Ovis aries: one gene and its partner. The protein of the gene in region 2 binds, or shares a complex with, the protein of the main gene of each other region. Links are inferred from orthologs where the notes say so. Each region holds a gene or a part of one and is shown on either strand. Other genes may lie near its edges.

Evidence for each region.
Region 1: the proteins of HCN2 (region 2) and PEX5L are in contact, whole or in part, in a crystal structure (PDB 4EQF), measured with the Mus musculus proteins. The link is inferred for Ovis aries from reciprocal best matches to the Homo sapiens genes HCN2 and PEX5L. Residues at the interface, in NP_032252.1 of Mus musculus: Leu859, Ser860, Ser861, Asn862, Leu863; in NP_001156988.1 of Mus musculus: Glu315, Glu317, Val343, Asn347, His426, Asn453, Arg454, Ala457, Thr458, Ala460, Asn461, Tyr472, Arg484, Tyr487, Asn488, Ile491, Ile494, Ile537.

The regions. Positions count from the first base shown.
Region 1 is NC_056054.1:207,989,464-207,993,279, reverse strand, and holds part of PEX5L (PEX5-related protein), read right to left. Parts: intron 237-3,816; coding exon 42-236; intron 1-41. UniProt on the Homo sapiens protein: Accessory subunit of hyperpolarization-activated cyclic nucleotide-gated (HCN) channels, regulating their cell-surface expression and cyclic nucleotide dependence.
Region 2 is NC_056058.1:40,904,097-40,907,912, forward strand, and holds part of HCN2 (potassium/sodium hyperpolarization-activated cyclic nucleotide-gated channel 2), read left to right. Parts: coding exon 1-298; intron 299-1,259; coding exon 1,260-1,421; intron 1,422-2,639; coding exon 2,640-2,858; intron 2,859-3,816. UniProt on the Homo sapiens protein: Hyperpolarization-activated ion channel that is permeable to sodium and potassium ions. Displays lower selectivity for K(+) over Na(+) ions. Contributes to the native pacemaker currents in heart (If) and in neurons (Ih).

The DNA of each region.
Region 1 (3,816 bases), on a different chromosome or scaffold from region 2:
ATGGCTTTGTATCAAGGCAGCAAACACAGCTATTGCCTTACTTAAGTCTAAGGATGCTGTCTCCGAGCCTCGGAGAGCCTGGCCTCTCTGCTCAGCATCTGCACTGATGAGGTCAGACCCATCAGCCTTTTTCTTGAGGGATGAGGTTTTTGATGAGGCCTCCAACTTCTTGGCTTTGGTTTGGGTTTGAGAGACAGGTTCACTCAAGTCAAGGAGATCTAAGCCTGTAGTCAATACTGTAAGAGAGAGAAGACATTAAGATAAGCTCACTCACTGCTCTGAAATTCTTTTTTAAAAATAAGCTTCATTTGGGTGCAGAAGGATTTTGTGTTTGCAGTATAGGTTAGAAGCACCAAATTAAGTTAGCTCACCATTGATTTATCAAGACGGTTTGCATTTAGACTGGGAAACTTGCTGCATGTTCTCTTTTATTTGGCATGGTAGAAATCTGCAGAATAAGGCTTAGACCAGTCGCACCAGTGATGAAAGTTTGAATGGAATTAAAGTGATAAAATTGAATCTGAGTTCAGGTACTATTTACTTGATTGCTTTGCTTTATTTATAAAGAGGTATATTTTAGAGTGAAGTTTTTTTCCCAGCATAGAGTCAATGTATCATATTCTGAGAGATGCTTGCAAAACAGTGATGAGGAAGATTTGGTAAAGTTTCTAAATGTCTTTGTATTTTAATTTCAAACTGCTAAAGTATCTAGGGCATAAATGAATGTTGCTAATCATCTTTTATTTAATTAAGCACTTTACTCAGAAAACGGCTTGATGTTTGGGCTCACACTAGAGAGGTATTTCATAATCCATAGTTGATGAATAGGTACACATGTTAATGCCTTTGCTGTTTAATATGCAAATTTAAATTTCAATGTGACAAACCATAAAATGGTTACACTTTTACTTCCCAGCAGGTTGATTACATTGTGTTAAATACTCTAATGAAGGCAGAAATAAGAATTTGTTCAAATGCAAACTAGGCAAATGAGAATTAAAAAGGCAAGCTATGTAACTTTTCATTCTTTCTCTTAAGTGCAAGTAACTGCTGTTTGACTAGCTCATTGTGAGAAATGGAAAATTCCTATTAGAAAAGGTACCTCCAGCTCTACTTCTCTTTTAGCCCCAGCATCCCAGAGTGGCTTCTCAACTGGCCTGATGGCTTCCTGACCTAGGATCTCTTTCCTGGCTAGCTTAGAAAAGCCACCAAAGTGGCAGGGACACTCCTTATGCTAACTCTTTCCAGCACTGTCTACAACAACCTCTGCACAGCTCCTTCTCCTCCTCTTTGATCTCTTGGTTTTTCCTCTTGGTAGGAAATGGATCTTTGTTGACATCTCAACACTCTTCCATCTATTTCCCCCTTGCATTCAATGCAGGGTCAGGGATTAATTTAGTTCACAACCAGGATTTCTTTAGTACTGAAGTGTTCTCATGAGCTAGCCATCATATGGGATCCTTAGGATAGGATGTAAAACTTTCTATAATCTTGCTTTCTGATTTCAAGTATATATCACAATGGTTGGGGTGTTAATGGTGAAGTGGAAAGACCAGACTCTGCCACTGCCTAGCTGTGTGACTTGGAGTAAGTTTATTGACATCTCTGAGTTTTAATGTCCTCACTTAAAACATGCAGAATTAAGTCTCTGCATTAGATATGATATGAAGATTAAATTATCTAATTTATAAATCAAATGTGTGAAGTGCCCAACATACTGCAAGTATTCAATAAATATTATTTCCATTCTTTGGTGGCCAATTTGTGATGCTTTTCTTTCCTTTTCCTTTATCTCCTGTTTCCCCCACTCCCCTCTGTTTTAGGCAAGAATCCTATCCATACACTGACAGAAACAGGAAAACACCCCTGGGAATAAAATGGCAGATGAGACAGGCTATTGGCTCTACAGAAGATGCTATAAAGTAAATTTATCATAAAATGGCCTGAAAGTGTCATCTCATGTGAGCTTATCTTGTCCCGGTCTTCCTGAGATAGGAGTCACTTTCCACAGTAAGATGCTCCGAGCCGTGGAGGAGTGTTCTGGCTGGCTTGGTGTCTAAAAGTTAAGCACGGCAAGCAGCCAGGGTAGGCTTGGATGCCACACATTTCATATCTTTTGAATGTTTAAATAGAAAATTCTAGGCCACTGTTAATGTTGGCAGGGATTCTAGGCCCACTGTGATTTCCTTCTAACAGAAGGAAGGAAGTGAATAACAGTCTCTGAAATGCCATATATGCCTTTTTACTAATTGCACAAACAAGAATTAGTCACTTTCTCCTACACTTCTTTTAGAAGAAAATTATATAGGACTTGTCTGCTTGTAGATAGGAAGTACATTTGTTACAGAATAATAACTGATGAGTATTAATTTAACTCTATATCTGTTTCTCACCATTCAGAATAAATGAATTACTCAGAGACTGAATTGCGAATTCAAACTTGGCTCAGTAACGTTCTTTTCCCCTCCAAGCTGTCCTCAGCACTTCCTGTGTTTGTTCTGAGGTCTCTGTTTCTTTGTTCTTTTCCTAGCAAATGTGAAACAACTGCTAGGCACACACAAAAGGCTTTATTTGTTCCTCAGTTGATGAAGGGGGTGCCTTGGAGGTTGAATGGCAAGCTTGAAGCAGAGAGAGTCCCTGAGGAACACAGTTTCAAAACCATAGAAGAATGTGTGCAGCCTTTCGCTTTCTGAAGAAAGACAAATCTCATTTTAGCGTGGGAGTATGTGAGTATGTGTGTGTATGTGTGTGGTGTGTACTTTAGTTAAGACAAAAATAAAGGGCATCCGATGTCACTGTTCCATATGGGCTTCATAGATAGCATACCTGGGTATGGAAGGGGGTGTCTGCTCTACTGATTTTCTCAATCTGATTTTAAATATTCTCTTAGGCACATGAAGGCTTGTGTTCCAGAATTTGTGTTTGAATTAAAATAATCACCTGATATATCGTGGAAGTGAAATTGTGTGTGTGTGTGTGTGTGTGTGTGTGTGTGTGTGTGTGTGTGTGTGAGAGAGAGAGAGAGAGAGACAAGGGGGAGAGACAGAGTGAGAGATAGTGGGAGAGTGAGTGAACAATAGCGGGAGAGAGAAAGAGAGTGAGAGAGGGAGAGAGTGAGAGATGGGGAGAGAGAGTGATGGAGAGAGACAGTGATGGAAATAGATATCTCCATCTATCTAAGAGATGAGGAGAGAGAGAGTGAGAGAGAGAGACAAGGGGGAGAGACAGAGTGAGAGATAGTGGGAGAGTGAGTGAACAATAGCGGGAGAGAGAAAGAGAGTGAGAGAGGGAGAGAGTGAGAGATGGGGACAGAGAGTAATGGAGAGAGACAGTGATGGAAATAGATATCTCCATCTATCTAAGAGATGAGGAGAGAGAGAGTGAGAGGTGAGGGCAAAGAGAGAGACAGCAAGAAACGGAGAGAGAGGTGGGGAGAGAGAGAAAGAGGGAGAGAGTGAGAGACAAGCAGAGAGAGTGAGAGATAGAAGGGGAGAGAGAGGGACACAGGAGGAGAGAGAGACAGGAGGAGAGAGAGAGAGAGAGAGAGGGAGACTAAGAGATGGTGGCAGTGGAGGGTGGAGAGAGAAGGAAACAGAAAGTGACTTGAAGATGCTATGCTGTTGGCTTCGGAGATGGAATATGGGGCCAAAGGCCAGGGAATTCGAGGTACCATCTAGAATCTGGAAAAGGCAAGGGAATGAATTCTCCTTTAGAGCCTCCAGAAAGAATAGAGCCCTCCTGATACCTTGATTTTAGGATAGCTGATTTCCAGAATTACAGGATAATAAATTTGTGTTGTTTTAAGCCACTGAATTT
Region 2 (3,816 bases):
ATTCTTCCTCATGGACCTGGTGCTGAACTTCCGCACGGGCATCGTGATCGAGGACAACACGGAGATCATCCTGGACCCCGAGAAGATCAAGAAGAAGTACCTGCGGACATGGTTCGTGGTGGACTTCGTATCCTCCATCCCCGTGGACTACATCTTCCTCATCGTGGAGAAAGGCATCGACTCTGAGGTCTACAAGACGGCCCGCGCCCTGCGCATCGTGCGCTTCACCAAGATCCTCAGCCTGTTGCGCCTGCTCCGCTTGTCGCGCCTCATCCGTTACATCCATCAGTGGGAGGAGGTGAGCGGCTACGCATGGGCGCAGGGGCGCGGCCACGGGCGTGAGCGGGGCTTGTGGGGCTGGGGCACAGAGGCCAGGGTGGGGTCAGTGGGGTCGTAATGGGCTGGAACTGGGCTGGGATGTAGGGGCAGGGTCGTGATGGGCGAGGGTGTGCTGATGGGTGAGGATGCTGTTATGGTGATGGGACCAGGCGATGACTACAGGTGGCACCAGGAACAAAAAGGCCGGGCCATGATGGGAGACCCTTGGCAGGGGGTGCTGCAGGGTCCAGGGGCGTACAATAAGACAGGCGGGATTAGACACACAAGAGTATCGGTGTCACTGAGTACACTGCGCGGAATTACAGGAGCTGCATAGAGGGTCCTTGGAAACTTAGGGGTGGAACCTGGGTGAGCTAGGGGCGTGGTCACAGGAGCCCCTACCTGCTGGGGAGTGGGGTCACAGGAAGCACTGCATGAATCCTTGACACATCTGCAGCCCTTCCTTCGTTCTGCCCTGTGAGAGGCAGAGTCCACAGCCCTGTTGGCAGTGGGGAAACTGAGGCCCCAAGGAGTGAAATCATGACCCTCTCCCCCAAGTTCAGACCCACTTCTGGACTCCGTGTGACCTGACTTCTGCAGCCCATGGCCACCACACAGGCTCAGTCACCAGCACTTTCCAGGATGGTGACAGGCTGCCATCAGGGGAGCGGGTGGGGACTGGGTCACTGGAAGAGGCAGTGGTCCTCAGAGAGGACAGTGGATGGCCGGCCAGGCAGAGATTTGGTGCCTGGGCGGCAGGCTGGTAAGGGGCCATGTTCTCTAGTCTAGGGCACTTCACTACCTTGAAAGGCCTACGGGGAGTGGGGGCTACGAGGAAGTAAGGGCTGCCCCTCACGGGGGACTGCGTCTTCCCACTGCTGGGACACAAGTAACCATGGGTCTGCCGGACGCTCACATGAGCTGCCCTGCCCTGCCCACAGATCTTCCACATGACCTACGACCTGGCGAGTGCGGTCATGCGCATCTGCAACCTCATCAGCATGATGCTGCTCCTCTGCCACTGGGATGGCTGCCTGCAGTTCCTGGTGCCCATGCTTCAGGACTTCCCACGCAACTGCTGGGTCTCCATCAACGGCATGGTGGTGAGCCCCGCGCCCGTGTCCCTCTTGCGTGCCTGGAGCACAGGGCGCCTGAAAACCCCTCTGGTGCTGAGCACTCCTCTGGGCTGCTGTCCCAGTTGGAGCCTTGCAGATCCAGAACTATGGAGATCTGTTGCCGTTTGAGGGCAGTAGAGCTGCTTTTGTCCCCCTCTCCCCTTTAGAAATCACGTCATCTGCTTACTATTCTGTGATCCATTCCACTCTTTTATTTGCACGCATGTATGTGCATGCTATTGCTTAGTCATGTCTCTTTTCGACCCCCTGGAGTGCAGCCCACCAGGCTCTTCTGTCCATGGGATTCTCCAGGCAAGAATACTGGAATGGGTTGCCATTTCCTCAAGGGCATTTTCCAAACCCAAGCATCGAACCCGCATCTCCTGCATTGGCAGGCGGACTCTTTCCCACTGAACCACCTGGGAAGCCCATTTTATTTGCACCCATGTGTTTAAATGACAATTTTATCATAGTCCTCAGATGGGAAAGTAGCATCAACGGTCTTGAGAAGTAATAAATTGGGAGATTCAGGAGCACCTATTGCTTTCTGGCTGAGACTGTTAACAAGCCTTTCTCCTGCTGGGGTGCATTTGGGGCACAGGGCAGGTGGGCATTGATGGGCGGGAGCACTGGAGGGAAAACCCTTGGGCGCCCAGCCTAGCGCCTAGCACAGCTGCCTGGCTGAGGCAGCTCATTGTCTGGCCGGACACCCAGGCATGTGGTCCTGTTTCCTGAACAGGGCCCACTGCCCCTCCCCTAGCTGGTTCAACTGAGGACTGGTCGGGGGTGGTGGGTTTCTTCCTGATCCTGTCTGATGCTTCTTCCACCCCGCCCCTCTGATCAGGATTTCAGTGTCCCCAGCTCGCTGTCCCCAGGACTTCCCCATTCTTTGGCCTCAAAGACACTCACCAGAGGTTGTGAAGTAGTGAGGGCTCTTGAACACCCAGGGCTGGACTCTAGCTGTTTGGAGCCTGTTTCCCCAGGAATGAAGTGGGGAGGTGGCTTCACGCTGGCCCTCTGCTGAGTTGCTGTAACATGTGTGCACATCACGTCGGCTGCCTAAATCTAGTTTCTCTTGGTTGACTCTGGACACAGGGAGCCGGATGCCTGGGGAAGGGTGGGCAGGCAGGGCCCTGGGGCGGGGCGGGTCAAGGGGCTCCCTGGGGACAGGGAGCCCCTGCCCACCACCCACCCTTGGACTTGCAGAACCACTCATGGAGCGAGCTCTACTCCTTCGCGCTGTTCAAGGCCATGAGCCACATGCTGTGCATCGGGTACGGGCGGCAGGCGCCAGAGAGCATGACGGACATCTGGCTGACCATGCTGAGCATGATCGTGGGTGCCACCTGCTACGCCATGTTCATTGGCCACGCCACCGCCCTCATCCAGTCGCTGGACTCCTCGAGGCGCCAGTACCAGGAGAAGGTCTGAGGGGGGAGGAACCCCCGAGGGTCTGGGGTCCACCCCACATCCCTCCAGCTCCATGTGTTGTGCTCAGGATGGAGGCCAGAGGGGTAGAGGGGATGGGGACCTCAGAAGGGCCTGTGACTGTGATCAGGACTGGACCACCCCCCCCTCAGTGGGGGGAGCAGCTCACAGAAGGACAGTGAGAAAGCTCAGAACTCTGAGGAAGAAGTCTAGAGGGGACATAGGGGCTGATGAAGGGAAAAGGAGGGAGAAGAGGTCTAAAAAGGACAGGGCCAGGAGACCCCTTGGTGAGGGGTGTCTCTGGGCTGTCCCAGGAAGGGTGGAGGTGCTGGGGTTGCTCAAGGACACAAGGGAGGCCTCTGGGAAGCAAGGATGTCCTAGGACTTGGCCTCCCTGGGGCCAGTCCAATGTGGCCCCATAGGCCAGCCCTTCCTGGAGGTCAGCTTCAGTCTTCTGCCTCAGTTTCCCCTCCCTCAGGCCAAGGGTGGCCCAGTTCCCCAAACCCTGCCCCACTGTCCCTGTACTACTACCCCAGGGCTAGCCTTGGCCCAGTAGCTGCCTCACCCCAGCAATGCCCAGCAGTCAGGTCGGCCGGGTCAGCTGGGCCTGGTGCCAGGCGCCCCGGCTGTCCGGAAGCCACCAGCCTCCCACCCAAACACGAGCTGGTGCCGCCACCCGCCTGCCGTCACGGGTTCCGCTGAGCTCAGGACAGCTGTGGCTGGGCGGGGCTAGGGCGGAAGCGGGGCCAGAGCTCCCCTGGGGGTGCCACCCTGGGGACAGTAGGGCCTGGCACCCCTAACTGGTGCCCTTGCCCCCAGCCCTGTTCAGGAGGGGCTGGGCTGGCAATTTCTAAAAAGATCATCGAGGAGGGGGCCACCAAAGGGTCGGGGGTGGTGGCAGGGGTTGCCAGAAGATATTCAGGACATAGGAGTTAACTTTTACTGCCAGGGTTAAA